2 linked regions of the Struthio camelus genome follow. The main gene of each other region encodes a partner of the protein of the gene in region 2 in a complex. Links are inferred from orthologs where the notes say so. Each region holds a gene or a part of one and is shown on either strand. Other genes may lie near its edges. The genes, in order: GID8 and ARMC8.

What was found.
Region 1: the proteins of ARMC8 (region 2) and GID8 are in contact, whole or in part, in a cryo-EM structure (PDB 7NSC), measured with the Homo sapiens proteins. The link is inferred for Struthio camelus from reciprocal best matches to the Homo sapiens genes ARMC8 and GID8. Residues at the interface, in NP_001350870.1 of Homo sapiens: Asn45, Val47, Ile48, Gly49, Asn50, Val85, Ser89, Met92, Arg127, Arg130, Arg161, Tyr162, Tyr166, Leu200, Ser201, Tyr202; in NP_060366.1 of Homo sapiens: Ile83, Ala84, Asn87, His90, Pro91, Glu92, Leu94, Asp95, Thr96, Tyr101, Tyr183, Glu184, Asn185.

Annotation. Positions count from the first base shown.
Region 1 is NC_090959.1:16,275,191-16,283,069, reverse strand, and holds the start of GID8 (glucose-induced degradation protein 8 homolog), read right to left. Parts: upstream 4,160-7,879; 5' UTR 3,938-4,159; intron 2,862-3,937; 5' UTR 2,850-2,861; coding exon 2,732-2,849; intron 1,499-2,731; coding exon 1,302-1,498; intron 798-1,301; coding exon 600-797; intron 274-599; coding exon 100-273; 3' UTR 1-99. UniProt on the Homo sapiens protein: Core component of the CTLH E3 ubiquitin-protein ligase complex that selectively accepts ubiquitin from UBE2H and mediates ubiquitination and subsequent proteasomal degradation of the transcription factor HBP1.
Region 2 is NC_090950.1:5,469,006-5,476,884, forward strand, and holds the start of ARMC8 (armadillo repeat-containing protein 8), read right to left. Parts: upstream 5,358-7,879; 5' UTR 5,240-5,357; coding exon 5,147-5,239; intron 4,647-5,146; coding exon 4,570-4,646; intron 1-4,569. UniProt on the Homo sapiens protein: Component of the CTLH E3 ubiquitin-protein ligase complex that selectively accepts ubiquitin from UBE2H and mediates ubiquitination and subsequent proteasomal degradation of the transcription factor HBP1.

The sequences.
Region 1 (7,879 bases), on a different chromosome or scaffold from region 2:
AATTGAGTGCTGTACTGTAGTAAAAATATTTCAGTCACAGACTGATATAAATGTATACTGTGCAGTACTAAGATTATTTGATGTCCATCTGCACACATTTTACTTAGGTTCTTCAATTGTCCCCTTGCTGAGGTCTGTCATTTTGGGATATTTCACTTTCTTCTGGTCCAGCTCATTCTGAGCCCACAGTAGTAGCTTCAGTAACTTTGCCAACTTGGGTGTTGATTCACGATTTTCATAGTCTAGGACAGCTTGGTTCACCTCACTCCATACCTGGGAAAGAAATACTAGAGTTTAGTAGTAGTTTTCCTATGATTAACACCAGTAACATCACACAAACATTGATGACCGCACACAGTTTGTTGACTCCGCTGAATACGGTCAGGAAAAAGTTCCGTGTTTTCTCCAGTCTCATAGGATATGGAAGAGAGCCAAGCAGTTGACTCTAGCAGCATCAGTTTTTTGAATTTCACTTCAGAGATATTTCTGTTCTTTTACCTACCACTGTATACATGTTTCTAGACATTTCTAAAAATATTTAGACACCATTTTACCACATACGAATAAAAGACGAGAATTTTGTTTTGGGAAAGTACTACCTTCTGTCGTTGCATCATGTTAAGCAAGTCTCCAAATGGTGACTCTTCAGGATTATCAAAGGCAAGCAAAGCCAGCGTACGCTCCATTTCTGTCAGGCATTCTCTGCTCTCCTCTCCTTGTTCTGCTAACTGGGTCTGAGCAAATTCCAGAGCTGCTTCTGTCTCACGCTGCCGAATCAGTTCAATCAAATGCTGCTGCTACATATGAGAAATACAGCAATATTAGCTAAACTAATCAGCAAATCTTCAGTATTTCAAGACTGTAACCTTCAGTCATTAGTATGCAATTTGAGACAAATACTAGTTGATAATCTTGACAGTTTGAAGTCATTTCTTCCACGTGCGTGAGACAGAGTAGCAGACTTGTGTACAAAATCTACTGAAAAGACTGACACTTTTGAAGAACAGGTTTTGAAAGACGTTACTACCAGAACTACCAGAAATCCAAGGTAATAGTTATTTGGAAGTTGGTAAGTCAGAGAGGACTGTTGTTAGAAGTTTTCATGTTACTAATTGTATATGATAGTTACTGCACTGCATGCCACAAAGTTTCCCCTTGCTACAAAATGATGTCAAGAACACTTGCAATTGCAGGCATATTCAGTTAGAACCCCTCAAGGCGCTTCTAAAACCCACACCCGTTCTTTTTCCAGTCTCTCAGCAACCCTGACAAGAAAGATAAAATTCGCCACTTGTCCATACCTGCAAATGAAAATAAAGATATCTGTTTGTATCTAACAGTTCTGGATGGAGACTGTTTATTAATGCAATGGCTTCTTGAATCTGTCCTTTCAATATCATTTCTCGAATTTTTATTCTTTCATCCAGGGTCTCCAGATCAACACTGGGTTCAATTCCAGACTCCATTCGAAATTTCTCTGCTGCCTCTTTAAATCCCTCTGAAACAGAAACATTTTCCCTTAAAAAACTATTTAATGAAGCACCTTAAAAAAAAAAGCGCGCACACACACACACACAGAGCTTAAATTAAAAGACTGGTATATTACTTGTGTATTCTTGTCATTAAAAGATTAATTCTGAACTTCTGAAAAGTTCTTATCATTTAAATAGGTACCTATTAATTCTAATAGGCATCGAATAATGCTTAGTTCATTCTTAATTCAACTGCCCATTCTCTAAGGATGCATGCAAGTTATAGTCCAACATCTCTTAAATATAAAACTTGTTTTACACTTAAATTGAGCAGTATACTTATCCCAAAATGTTACTATTTTCCAAGTTTGGGCATTTTTCCTTCTCCCTATGCCCCCTCAATTCTGTTTACATGGACCTACCAGTTTTACTGAGAACAAAATGAAAAAAGAAATTGGTTTTGTTTCCCATACTAACACTATATTCTTTGGAAAAAAGTTACAAGAGCTATTCTAAATCCTAAGTCCCGCTTTCATACGCACACAAATGATTTATCATACCTAACTATAACACCCACTGAAATGCTCTTCCTTCATCCCAGAGGCTCCAGCGACACAGCAGTGTAAACAGGGGTGTAGATAAAATACAAATGCCTCCGCCCCGGTACAGCTTACTGGAATAGTATTAATCATAATTACTAGGGCCCATTTCCGAGGGTTTTTGATTGTTCTAAGTATAACGTTAGGCTATATGCTAAACAGGTAAGTGGTTTTGGTCTCAGACTATTTTGATAATGGTGCCCTTTTGCAGTTGAACTTTCTAGCCAGTTAAAAGTTGCTTCTGACAATTGTTCTGTTCAGCTTTGAGAGCGCTTTTTAACAATAGCGACATACCTTGAACTCTGTTTTAAATGGCACAAAGAAGGACTAAAGCTGGAAGCAAGTCATGTTTGCTAACACTGTGTTCCAAAAAATACTCTCTTCTCTATACCACTTAGCAGAAGAGTTGGGATTAATAAGTGTCATTTCTTTCGTAAGAAATCTGCTTGAACTCCTTGCTTGGAGCTAATTAAGTTGGTTTCCATTTAACAGAACACAGGAGCAAATATATGTTGCTAAGAAAAGCCACTAGTAATTATGAAATCCTTACCACCCTTAATTTTACTCCATCCAGTAGCATGTTCTAGCAAAAAACTGTTTGTCTTGGTAAAATAAGTGACACACATTTAAGAGTCTCCTAGCATTACTACTCACTATTACCTGTAACAAGGTAGTTCATGATAAGGCGGTTCATGTCTGCTCTCTGAATGTGCAAGTTATTAAGTTTTTCCATCCATTCATCTTTTGTGATTTCATCAGGTTTTTCTGCATAACTCATCCTGGCCTCTTACTACAAGGAAAGAAAAGCAACTCATTTAACACGTTTCCAGAAAAAGTAAGTTTAACGTACATAAGCACTGTATTGCTACCACCTTTACAGCTGTCTATGAGATCTTTTAAACTAACACTCCAAAAGATGCCTGTTTATCCCAAATCATTATTTTTTATTTTTACCCACCTTGTTCCTGCACTCTTTCACATATACTGACCAGTCTCTAAAGCTGCTTTCCTCAACTGTCAAAACACAAGATTCACACATCACCTTTTCATCTTTCTCTTATATGTGGTCCAAATAAACATAGCATAAGAGTTATACAGCACACACAGCATCACAGTGTGACACAAATGAATCGAGAGTTTGGCAGCAAACCAGAAAATTTGTTAACAAACATTTAAAGCAAAGCCTCTGTGAACAACATCTACTTTAAAGCTTTCCTCCAAGCTTCGACTGGATAGCTACCTGTACTAGATAGCTACAAAACATTACGTGTTAAGGCATCCAATGCACAAATGAAAGATTCATACTAGCTTTGCTTGGCTGTTGACAGCAAAAGTACTCCTGACATCACATCCAAAATATTATTGCCTTTTTTTTCCCCCTACTTGGTTTTTTTTTTTTCCAGATTCGGAAGCAGAGCGCTTCGCAAAAATTTAAGCCGACATTTAATCACTTCCAGGCATCTATCTGCATCTCATAGGGGCAGCGAAAGGGGGAGGAAAGGCAACAACAACAGCAACAGGCACCGCCACCCCTCTCGGGCGAACCCGCGCGCGTTCCCACCGCCGGCCCGTTTCCAACAGGTTTTTCTCCCCCGACGCTCGCGGCCGAAGCCACGACCGGCCCGGGGAAAGTTGGGCGGCGGGAGCCGGGACCAGCCTGGCGCCGGCTGAGGGGCCGATCGGTCCCTGCCCCCCGAGCCACTGCCCCCCGACCCAGCCCTCGCCAAGGCCCGGGCTCCCGAAGCGCCCGGCCCCGCTCGCCGCAGGCCCCAGCGCCTTCCCCCCGCCCGCAGCGGCCGCGCCAGGGGAAGGGCCCGCCAGCCCCCGTCCCGCGGGGCAGGGAAGGGGCGGCCGGCGCCATCTTACCGAGCGCGCCGCGCTGCCGGCTCCGACGCACCAACGCGGGCCCCCGCCGCCGCCTCAGCCAGGCCGCTGGCTCGCGGGTCTCGCGAGAACTGCCCGCTCGGCCAATGAGCGCCCAGAGAGCGGCGAGAAAACGCAACCATAGAGTTGGGGCGCGGAGCAGAGCGTACGCCCGTCCCTGCATGTACCCACACGTCCAGCGGGGAGGCGATACCATAGAGACGAAAGGGGAGGTGGGAGCGGGAGGCTCGCCAGCACCATAGAGTTGAGGGAGACCCCGCCAGGGTGACCATGGGGGCGGGGGGGCGGCGGCCTACGTGCGAGGGAGGCGGCCGCGCCTGAGGGGCCGGGGGAGGCCGCGGCCGCCCGCCGTCCCCAAGGGGGTTGAGGGCCGGGGGCTCAGCCTGGGGTTACCGCCCGCAGAGTCGGCCCGGCCAGTCTTCCAGGGTCGCGCAGAGGGAGGCGGGTCTACTGTAGGTCACGGCTGGGCACGTTAATGTGAAATTAACGGTTCCGTTGCTGTTGGCGTGCGGGGGCAGGGTGAGCTGCCGCGGCGGAGGGCTCTGCTGTGGGATCTCTGTCGGAATTGGTACTGGCGGCGGAAAAGAAGCGATAAACTCCGCTCAGTGCCGCTAAATCCAATAGGAGTTGTGAATGAAAGCACTGTATAACGAAAAAAAAAAAATCAGTTTGTATATTTACGTGGAAAGCGGGCCTTAAGAGATGCAGTTTTTTCTGTGTGGATTAGTGGAGATGGTAGTCCCCTGGAAAATTCAATTTTCACAGAGGGAGAATAAGGACACAATTACTTGTTTGTTTCACTCCTTTTTTTTTTTTTTTTTTTTTGCAACTGTGCCATAAGCACAGTCTCCAAAACTCAGTTTCATTAAAACTGTATCCCCGTTGAAATTGAGAATCTCTGCATTTAATCGATAACACATGATTTTAACTTATTTCTCCAAACAAACCTCTAGGCTCATAAATAATACAGAGCTTTGCACAAAAGAAGAACGTATTTAGCCAGACATGCCATCAGCTGTCGTTAGCCATATGGCAAAGCTACAGTGTTGGCAAGTATTCCTGCTGCTTTGACGGGGGGCGGGATTTCTTCAGGCTTTAATCTAACAACCTTTCTCAGTGAATTTCACTCTTAGGCAACCATAACTTTTCTCTTAAATGTTCTGACCTGCATTTCTTGTATTTCTGAACCAACGGGCTTGTAAATCTCTGTTTCTTTTAGATGCCCTGATTTTATCAGCTCCTCCCTGAAAGGTGGGGTTTCTCAGGAGACTTCCATAAAGAGGGAGCGAGTGGGCAAACGCCCCTCTCTAGGAGGGTTTCCCGAGTTTGCTAGACAGGGAACCACACCTCAAGCAGAGAGGAGACACCAGAGTGTAATTCATACCACAGTTAGTGCTTACAGGTAAAGAGCAGAGAATAGGTGTAACTGCTTTCTAGTAAGTAGAATACCGTACTGAATAAGCCAACCAAAATTTGTGAGCTGCTGTTTCGCAGCATGTGTGATTGTGCAGCATTAATACTTTTTTTTTTTTTTTAAACAAGTTGGGCTGCTCAGCTAACTTCAATAGAAAAGTTTCCCTTTATCCTTTTCTTGTCCTCTGGGATAAAGAAAAGTAAAAATGGGCTAAAAGCAGATCCTGGGTCGTGGTTTTGCTTGTTGTGAAAAATGCTCTTTTTTCCCCCACCTATTTCTTTAGGAATGGGCTTTTTTTTCTGACCCTGAGGTTACCAAAAAGAAGTTTGTAATCTGTTTGTATAGAATGCAACGTCCACTGCATTCTCTTCTTCTTCCCTTTCCTCTGCTTTTTTTAGTTTGTTGATGTTTCTGGTAATGTCAAAGCTTCTTAGAGACAGCTTTATTTGAGAGGAGAAGAGGTTTTATAATCACTTGAGTTGCAACAAAAACATTTTCAATGTTGCTAATTAAGTGTTTTCTTACTGAGGCTGAAAACAAAGTGCTTTTCTGATGCCTGAGTTGTTTTATGTGGTTAAATAATATTGAATAGTACTGTTCATAGTAATGCTTTTTTGTTGGTTGCATTGGCCCAATGTGGTAAGATCACAAGTGTATATAATAACTTATAAAACTGTAATTACTTTATCTTGATATCGGCCTGTCTTCCCTACTAGTGTGCTGGATACGATGAAAATTCTGCATGTTTGAGGGATTCGGCAGTTTCCTGAGTGATAAAGGACATATACTTTGTACTAACTCTCTCCTGATATAAACCTGTCTAGTCCCCTTCTGTGTTCCCCTCCTTTTAACTTGTGTCCTATTGATTAAATGTTTAGTCATATCATGTATAATATCTGCTTGCTGTCTTTAACGATGTGCATATTTAGTGAGACACTTATGTACCCTGTGCTTTGTGGCCTGGAATACTGAAAGATTTGGCAATACCGACACGTATGGCTTGCAGGACTTTGTTCTAGTAGATACTAAGCCTCACAAAAGTGAAAGGGAGTAGGAAGGCACAAAGCTGTCTGGCAGTTCAGGGCAAAAGCTTCCTGCATCATTCCACTTCTTCTTAGCAGTAAATCCTAACTTCTATTAAGATTCTCCCCAAACTTGGAACCAAAACTTTGTTTTATTACTCGGTGAAAACCTTGCGGGACACATCTGTGGCTTGAAAGTTGGATTAGAAGGCATGGGAGAAAAGTATTTTGCTCTTTGGAAACTAGCCTGTGTCTTTGATGTGCCACCGTCCTACAATAATCTTACGGTAATAGGAGTAGTAATATTGTGGAAATTTGGCCTTTGTTATGACTACAAAATTGAGAATAAGCGAAACTTGTATGATATATCTGCTTAAGTAATTCAGTGCAATTTATAGAATTCTTACTTGGATTATGATCTGATAAACTTGAGTTTACTTGGAGGTATTTTGGTAGCTGCTATTTGGAGCTGAGTGGAGTCCAATAAACCCCAAACTAAAATCACTAATCCCTGAAGAAGTCACTAAAATCCCTGTGAAAGGGTACACGTTCAGGGAAAAAGTTTACCTGGAACTGGGAAAAAAAAAAAAATCCCTGGCAGCTTCTGTCTCCTGACAGGGAAGGGGAACGCTTTCTTTATGTGAACGTAATTAACCTGAGGGCAAAGTACTTCTGTGTGCACCCAGTGCTTATGAAAAATGATGACTCAGCTGCCTTGGAGAATTGAGCTCCGAAAGGACAGACTGCCTTGACACCCGTGGTGTCTGGTTTTGAGTTGTGTGCTGGACCGTGGAGGTGGAGAGGCCTTTATACACCAAAAAGGTAAAAACTTGAGCACAGCTGACAAAAATTAGCCTCTCCTGACTGAAAATGATCAATTATCTGTTCAAAAAACAAATGGAGGAGGGAAGAGCATTTGTTCATTTGCTTTCTTTCCTACTCTTTTCATGGGCTAGCTCTGACTCTAGTTTTCACTTGGCTGCTGAAGTTGGCTTCCTGGAACGTTCAGTGAGGAAGAACTGAGAAAAGGGGCTGAACATAAAGTAAGTATCATCTTTTGGGGCTCTGCATCTCCAAACGTTTGAAAATCTCAGTGAAGAGACGGGTGAGTGAAAGAGTGGAGTTGACATCCCTTTGCTGTTTTCTCACCATGTGAACCCGTATCAGGGGACGCCCTCTCTTTACAACACAAAGATAATGTCTTAGTGTGTATTACAAACCATAGTTTTATGGTAGTGCCTATAGACCAGGGTCCCCTTGTGTGATACACTGCAAACATAAGTAAGGCCATTTTGCAGCTACCCAAATTTTTTATAAAAATTGATACATTAGGGGAATTTGAGGAGAAAAATAGAAGATGCATCAACTGCAGGACAAAGTCTCAGTGCATTGACTGCCTAACAGTGGAAAAGATTTTTGAAAGCAACTGAGAAAAGTTTTAAGGACAGTAGTGTTGAAGGCCTCGCATGTGTGAAGCCTACGCCTCTC
Region 2 (7,879 bases):
AACCTACAAAAGGATATCCTGTGAAGTCCCAATTCTATCTCGGCTGTACCAAAATATCATTTTCATTTTAAAAAGTTTTCAAAACACTTGAACATAACCACTGCAAAGCTGTCAATCTGAGTCTGCAGAGACTCTAAAACAGTAGCTGTCAGATGCTAAACGGTCCACATGTTCTGACCTATATTACTATTACACTATTACACTTTTCATATCAACATTAAATCTCAAACACTGAAAATCATAGAAAGCACATACAAAACAAATTAAGTGTACTGTATAGATCTATACCAGTATTCCCACCACAGCACTTGGGCACGCTCAGTGGGAAAAGGGAAAATGTAAACATATACTTTAAAATTGGTTCCTCGGTGACAAGTGCCATTTCTATAGGATGTGTCTTTCGTTTTCCTGAAAAAGAAAATAGCCTACCCACTTTTGGAAAATGCGGATCTAGTAACTCTAGCTGACTGGAGTAAGCTGATCCAAAAAGGACAGAAGCAACAGTAGCATGGGAATCCTCAGTGCACCATGATGCTGACTAATTGCAAGCCTTAAAAGATGACACCCTTTGACTGCTGAGGAACAGCATGATGAGAAGCAGTTGGGACCTTGTGCAAGCCAGATTTGTCTGGAAAAATACTCCTTTCAAAAACAGCCCTTGAGATGAAATTACATAGCTCTCTGTAAAGTGATAGATCACCTCTTGGAAGACACCAGGCTGACTGTAAGCCTGACAAACTGTCTCTCAAAAAAGCCTTCGACCAGCAAGTAAATTGGCAGACAAAAATAGGTATTGGTCTTGCATGTAAACAAAGTGGCCCTGAGCTTCAGGGCGTGTGGAAAGCAAATGGCAGTCTAAAGATCACCACCTAGAATTATTTAACAAAAAAAAAAAAAAAAATTACTGCTATGCTGCAAAACACAGGATTTTGTTGCAGCAACAAGCTTGGGATAGATTAAGCTTTTACAACACTAGATAAATTTACAAAGTTATTTATATTCTGTTCTTCTGCCAATAACTGCAAAACAATTAAGAGAACTTCTGAGAGAACACAGTATCTAATCCCCTACAATAGTCATATGAGGTAGTCTTCTATGCACTAGCAACACCGAATATATTCAATAGCCGCACACCTGACATTATTGCTGACCTTGCAGAGTGCAGTCTTCAAAGTGTATTTTGAGAAAATTTGAACTGTAGAACAGTATACGGAAGATGAAAGGTTTAGAAGCACACCTAGGTAGACACAAAGCACACTCGTAAGACCTCTCAAGTATAAGCATGATGTACCGTTTAGGTTTACAGAAGGAAACTATGACTACACGAAGCTAGCTCAATTACAAGGACAGTAAATAGAAAGATAGATATGCACACTTCCATACAGATGTGGAGATGCAGAAATGGCATACATTTTAAAGAGCTCTTAATCAGGTACAGTAAAAGCCAGTAGTCATCCTTCTAAGAATCTCAAAATTTCAAGATCTGAACTGAAATTAATCATTTACTGGTGGGTACAAGCACTTACTTCTTCCTTGTGTATCTACTACTAAAGCTCAAATGAATATGACGATAGAAATGATGTGAAAAGAAATACTGCAGGGAACTTGGGACTTTGAAAGAAGATCAGTGGAGCTACATACAGCAATACCAGCCAAAAAGGAAATGCTTTCTCAGTTTTCCTATAAGGAGGAAAAGGAAAAAGCTCCTCAGCAGGTAAGACTTCATTGTCTGGCAAAAGAAAAAGAGAAGGAAAGGAAATAAGAGATTTGATAATTCAGATCCTTTCAGCATATGTAACCCTGAGCTTTCTCAAGTTACAAAATGTCAACTGCATTGACATGATTTTCAAGTTCAAGAAATACTTAGCTCCATTTTACCTTTATCAAGCCTAATTCAGAAGTTAGATTTCATTAAAATGTACAAGAGTGCAATAAAAGAAAAGGCCCAAACTCAAGTTATTCTTCCAGGTTTCCTTAATACCAGGTGAAGAACAGAACTACTGCACCTGAAGACAATCTGCAGAAACAAACCCTCTCAAGACAGCCTATTTCCTGGTCCTCGATATTCATACAGTTCCATCAATCAAAATAAAAATCTAGGTCATCAGTATTTTCAGCCAAGATGCAGGAAAAACAGCACATCTTAGGAACCAAAGATTTTCAGTGAATTATGCAGAACACTTGGCAAAGCTTCTGACAGACACTTCTGATGGGACTTTAATCCCCTTCTCCCCACCTCCCCCTAGCATCAGTTCATTCCAGGTTGAATACCTTTTTCAGATACCCTGAAGTCAAAGGAAGAAGGGCAAAGTAGTTCTTGTCTGCCTGAGGAGAATCTTGGACTGACAGAATTTGTTAGAGACTATATACACTATTCTGAACTGGACTGTATCACATCCATCCACCCATATTCAGGAAAAAACAAATCCATCACGCAGGATTTGCTTAGTGTCAAGAAAGATAGATTCTCAGAATTAGGATCTTAGCCAGAGTGTCACGGATCGGTCCTGTAACTTTTTCCTCCTTTTCCCCTGTACCCTTCAGGGGCACTAATCCTGTCAGATCTGTAACTTTCAAAGGTCTGAGTCTAAAGGGAAGGCATCTTCTGTGCAACTCCTTCAGCAGTTTCAAAGTAGCAGCATCTGTTACTCCAACAACTAGAATAACTCGGATCCATTCTTAAAAGACACCTCCTTCTTCAAATCTGTTCTTACTCACACCCCTTATAATCTCTCCAAACCTCAGAGCATTTGTTTGAGAAGAAATGTCTCCTCCACCAAGCTCAGCCTCAAAGATACTGCCACATGGTCTTCATGGTAGCAAAATTCAAACGGTAGCAAGAGCAGAATCCAAAAGAAGTGGATCCAAAGTGGATCCGTAAAGGACATGTCCAAGTACCACAGGAAAAGGATGATCTGAAAAAGCTACATGATAAAACGACCAAAATAGTGAGCTACGAAAAATTCATGAGGCAAAGCAGCAAAACATCTCTTATATTGGAAGCCAGGAACCAAGCTGGCAAACAAAAAAGAAAGTTATTGTAAAATATATTGGTATTCTGTTGTCTTTAAATGGATAGCTTATGATCTCTAACTGCAGAGACATATTCTGCAGTTACATAGTTGCCCCTTATCAATTTATCTGTTCTTAGACCACATTAAAACTGAAAGGCAGCTCAGCATAAAATCAATTGACATTGCAGATGCTAGCTGAGACAAAGAGACCGCTTAAGATTTTTGTTTCTGGGAAAACTCTTTGCTTAAACTTCAGAAGATGCGAATAACAACTCAAAAGATAGGGAAGGGATTCCCAAGGGTTGGGGTTCCACAGTTCTTTGAAAAGAAAGGACCGCAGGGAGGGAGCACCACCCAGCGCTCAGAGCATCTGCCGAGGAGAAAAGAGGGGGCTCAGTCAGCCCACTTGCACACAGGATGAGACACATCCTTGCCCCTGGGAACATCCAACTCACTTTTGTGAGCAGTGGACTAAGAAGGCCAAGAAGCAGAAACAAAGCCAAACTTTTCCACAGGGAACAGTTAAGAACCTGTAAATATTTACACTGGAGGACCAGAAGGTTTTATACAGGTAACAAAAGGATATTTCAACAACAACAACAAAAAAATCCAAGATAGTTTTATACAGGCTGGGTTTTTCAGGCATTTCAAAGGGATACTTGACTCTGATATGTTCCCTACTCCCTCCCTGGGACGCTTTCCAGAGTGACTTTGCTCATCTGCTATTGGAAACACCTCAGACTGTCCATGAGCAATGAAACCCAACATTCTTGGCTTTTTCATCCACTTAGGGCTTCAATGTCTTCTAGCACTTTGCTAGTTAGCCACTGCTAGCAAGTTACACGTAAGCCTGAGAAAGCCTGGTTTCACCACTAAAAGTCAGTCCTAGGCAAGGACTTGTGTGCCACATCCCCGTGTGAATATAACGGAAAGCTTATAGCTCAAGGACAGTAAGGAAACAACTAGATCTTTGCACCAATTTTACTATGCGCTCACTAGCGAGAGTCTTCTACTGAATTTTTCAGCCATTACCTCCTGTCACTGGTATGCAACAGACATACTGAAACATAAGTTATATCTAAATTAATTTCTATAGAAGCATTTTCTTTCAGCTCTCAATTCCCTTTGATGAGACAGAAGTCATATCCAAAAAAATCAACACTCCAGGCATGATGGCAGGGGAAACAGCTGAAGAGGCAAGTATGCTGACTTGGCAGTGAAATAAGAGAAAAAATTCTCATCAGACCTGGAAACGGAACAAAAGGAAAAGGCCAGAAGGAAGAAAAGTATCAAAAATAAATTTGAATGCTCACAGAATGTTTTACCTCATTTCTAGCAACTGGGAGGCTGGGGTACTAACCCTATGCACCACAAAGTGATAGTATGCTAAAACAACATTCTCATGTTTGCAGGAAAATTCACATAGCGAGTTTTCCAACAAGATTTATCTAAAAAGATGGGAAGAATCTCTTTCCACTGACATATCACACTACTAGAATTCAAGCAAACTTAGCCTAGGTACAACAACAGTTTGAATTTGTTTCATATGACTTACATGACACCTTGCAGGACTTTCTGGGGATCGAGGTCAAATAATCTGTCAACATAGTGGCGGCTACTGGCCGTTACTTCCTGCAGAGAAATAAATATATATATATATATATTTTTTAATAATTTACATCAACTCATATAATGGCAGACAAAAAGGAATGACTAAAAAAGCAGCAAGTCTACAAAACCTACCAGGCAAGATATCAGCAAAAACACAGAATCATATTTACGTGCAGTATGTTACTGCTGGGCAACACCCACACAAGGAATTAACCTTGTGTTTAAATGTGATTTAAAGAATAAGATTTACCTAAATGTGGATATCCATGTTATGAGTCAAAGCAAGTTAATGGAGCACCTCCACGTATTTAAATATTTATGAATAGGTCATGCAAGAAGGGGTCTACTTGAGGCATCAGTCCTGTCTTCACTTCAATTTTATTGTGTGTAATTACTACATAAGCAGAAAATCCCTTACAGAAAAAGTTCTTAAGAACAGTTAACGTTGCTCAAGAAGCATACCCACAAGCGAACTCTCAAAAATAAGGAAGCTTGTATTGAGACATTTTTCTGAAACTTACCTTATTGGAAATATTTACATGTTTCAGAGACTCTGTCCTTCTATAAACTGGTCCCCACAATTCCAACACGGACAGCAGCACAACACCCTCCATAACATTCCCCTAGCTACTCTATAACACAAAGTGAACTAACTCTCCTCTCGGCAACAGGACCGTGCTTGCAAGTTAAACGCTTATGCACCAGTGATCTGTCATTCTCTCTGAGAAGCTCCAAAGTTGGAGAAGGAAAGCATTCCAGAAGAGAAGGGTGGGAAAAGGCAAGGGAATTTTCCCTCCAGGTTCTCATGAACACGTGCCAGAGCGCCTCTCCGCTGTCTCAGTTCTTTTTGCCTGCTCAACCTTCTACGAGCCTTCTCCTGTTTTCCCCTTACGAGTTTTCCTTGAAAGGAGCTATAAGGAAGCTGTAAAGTCCTCCTCGCTTTCGGGAGCATCTACACTTGGACTAAGCCTGCTCCTGCCTCCCCCTCCAGATGCTGGAGGTGCCAGCAGCTTCTTGCCTGTAGTCCCACACAAGTCTGAGAGAAAAAGAATCATCTAGAGACTGCAGGCGTCTTGCCTCCAAGAGTACTACTACGTTCTGCCAAATAAATTTGCTTTCAGTTCAGCTTTCACCACGTAACCAAGGACAGCGTTTTTGAGAACAGCAGCGGGCTTTCACCTGCCAGGTCTATATGTTTATACGCAAAAAAAATATTTTGGACTTCAGACCTCCTGCTTCTAACACATCCCGGCTTTCACCCTACTGACTATTAGATCTGTAGCCTGGTGAAGAAGGTCGGTCATATGCAGCCAAACAAGTTTTTCCAAAAAAAAAAAAAAAAGTATCGGGGAAAAAAGAAATTTATTGACGTTATCATAGTCTCAGGGTCCTCTTAGCTAGCAGCAAACCGCAGCCAGAGAAGCCCTTAAGCTCTCCGAGGAGCAGCCACGCTGCAGCCCTGGGCGCTGTGCCTCCCCGCGGCGCCGGCGGCCGTGGGAGGCGGGCACCGGGCACCGGCGCCCTCCCCGCAGCGGGGGCCGCGGCAGCGCGGCCAGGAGGGCACACGACCGGCGTTTCGGCCCCGGACAGCCCCCCGCCCCCCCACACCGCCGCCGTTCCCCCACGCGGCCGCTCGGCGCTGCGGCTCCGCTCGCCGGCCGCGAGTTGCCGCGGGCCCGGGAGGTTCACGGCGGGGCGCCTGCAGACGCCGAGCCGCCCCCCCCCCCACCCAAAAGGGAGGTGAAAACCCCTTCGTTAAAGGTTAAATCCGGGCGCGTTTCACTGTCAGACGAGCCGAACTCTCCAGGAAGCGGCCGGGGGCCGCCCCGGCAGGGCGGCACGGCAGCGGCCCGGGGGAAAGCCGCCCGCCCGGCCCGCGGCCCCCCCCTTCACCCCGCACACAAAGCGGGGCCGCCGCGAAGGCCAAGGTCAGGCCGGGCCCGGGGGCGGGGGCGGGGCGGGCCGCGCGGCACTCACCGAGAGGACGCTCATGCGGAGCGGCGCCTCCAGCACGCACGCCATCTTGGCGGACGCAGCAACTCCGGCGGCGGCGCCCTCAAGCCCGCGCGCGCGCCGCCGCTGCCGCCGCCACCACCGCCGCCGCCGGCGGGCACGGCCACATCGCGGAGCGCGGCGCCGCCGGGGCGGGGGGGGCGGGGGGGGGGGGAGAAGAGGGGAGGGGCGGGGCGCCGCGGACCTCGCGCCCAGCGAATCGGCCGACGCCGAAACCCCGCTACCTTCCGCGAGCCCGCGCCGCCGCGCCTGCGCCGCCAGCGCGCCACGGCAAGCCGCAGGGCGGGCACCTTCCCCCCGCCACACCTCCGCCCGCGCATGCGCCCGCCGCCGCCACCACAGCCGCCTCTCCCGCGCCGGCCCGTGAGTCAGGCGGGCGGAGCGCGCAGGCGCGGCGCGCCGTTACGGGGGCCCAAAGGAGGGGGAGAGGGGAGGGGCGGGCCCCGCGCAGCACGATAACGCCGGGCGAGAGGCGCTGCTGCAGCAGCTCGCCGGGGGCCTCGGTCCCGCAGCCGCTCAGCGCCAGGGCAAAGCTTACCTACCCGCCGAGCCGCTCGGGAAGGCACCTGGGCGGCAACGGGGGCCCTGCCGCTGCTCCTCCTCTCGCTGGGGGAGGCGGCGGCGGCTGAGCTCTTAGCTGAGGCAGCCCCCGCTGCCGTCTTCCTCATCCGCGGGGCAGGAACGGCAGCGGGACTTTCGAGGGAGCCCCTCGGTCTCCTCCTGCGCGGCCCTAAGGCCCCGAGGGCAACGCCAGCACTCGGCAGCCTGACTAAACCCCCGTCCTCGCTCCACGAGGGCCCAGGTAATCCGGTGAGGTGCCTTCCTGACTGCCGCCGCTCTGCAACAAGCAACGAGGCTTCGCTTTATCTGCCTCTGCTCTGACTGGCCTGGGGGAAAGTCATGGCTTCTTCTGACATAATCTTGTTGCGGTTTTGGGGGGGGGGGGGGGAGTTGTAGTGAAAACCTCAAGAAAAAGCAGGAATTTATCCAGTTTGGCTGTAGCTTTCCGTAAGAGCTGATATTTTGGTATTAGTCCTCCTGTATTTCGTTCCTTGAGATGTGGGGACGTCATTACTCCTGAAGACAGCACTGAATGGGGGCGGGAAGGTAAAACCACCCCAGGTCAGGGTTCACTTAAGTCTTCATTTTTGCTATTGTAAGGTAACTGTTAAACCCAAGTTTGCCAGCTGTTAGCAGAGATTCTGCAGAGGATAACAGGGGAGCACAATAAACGTTTTAAG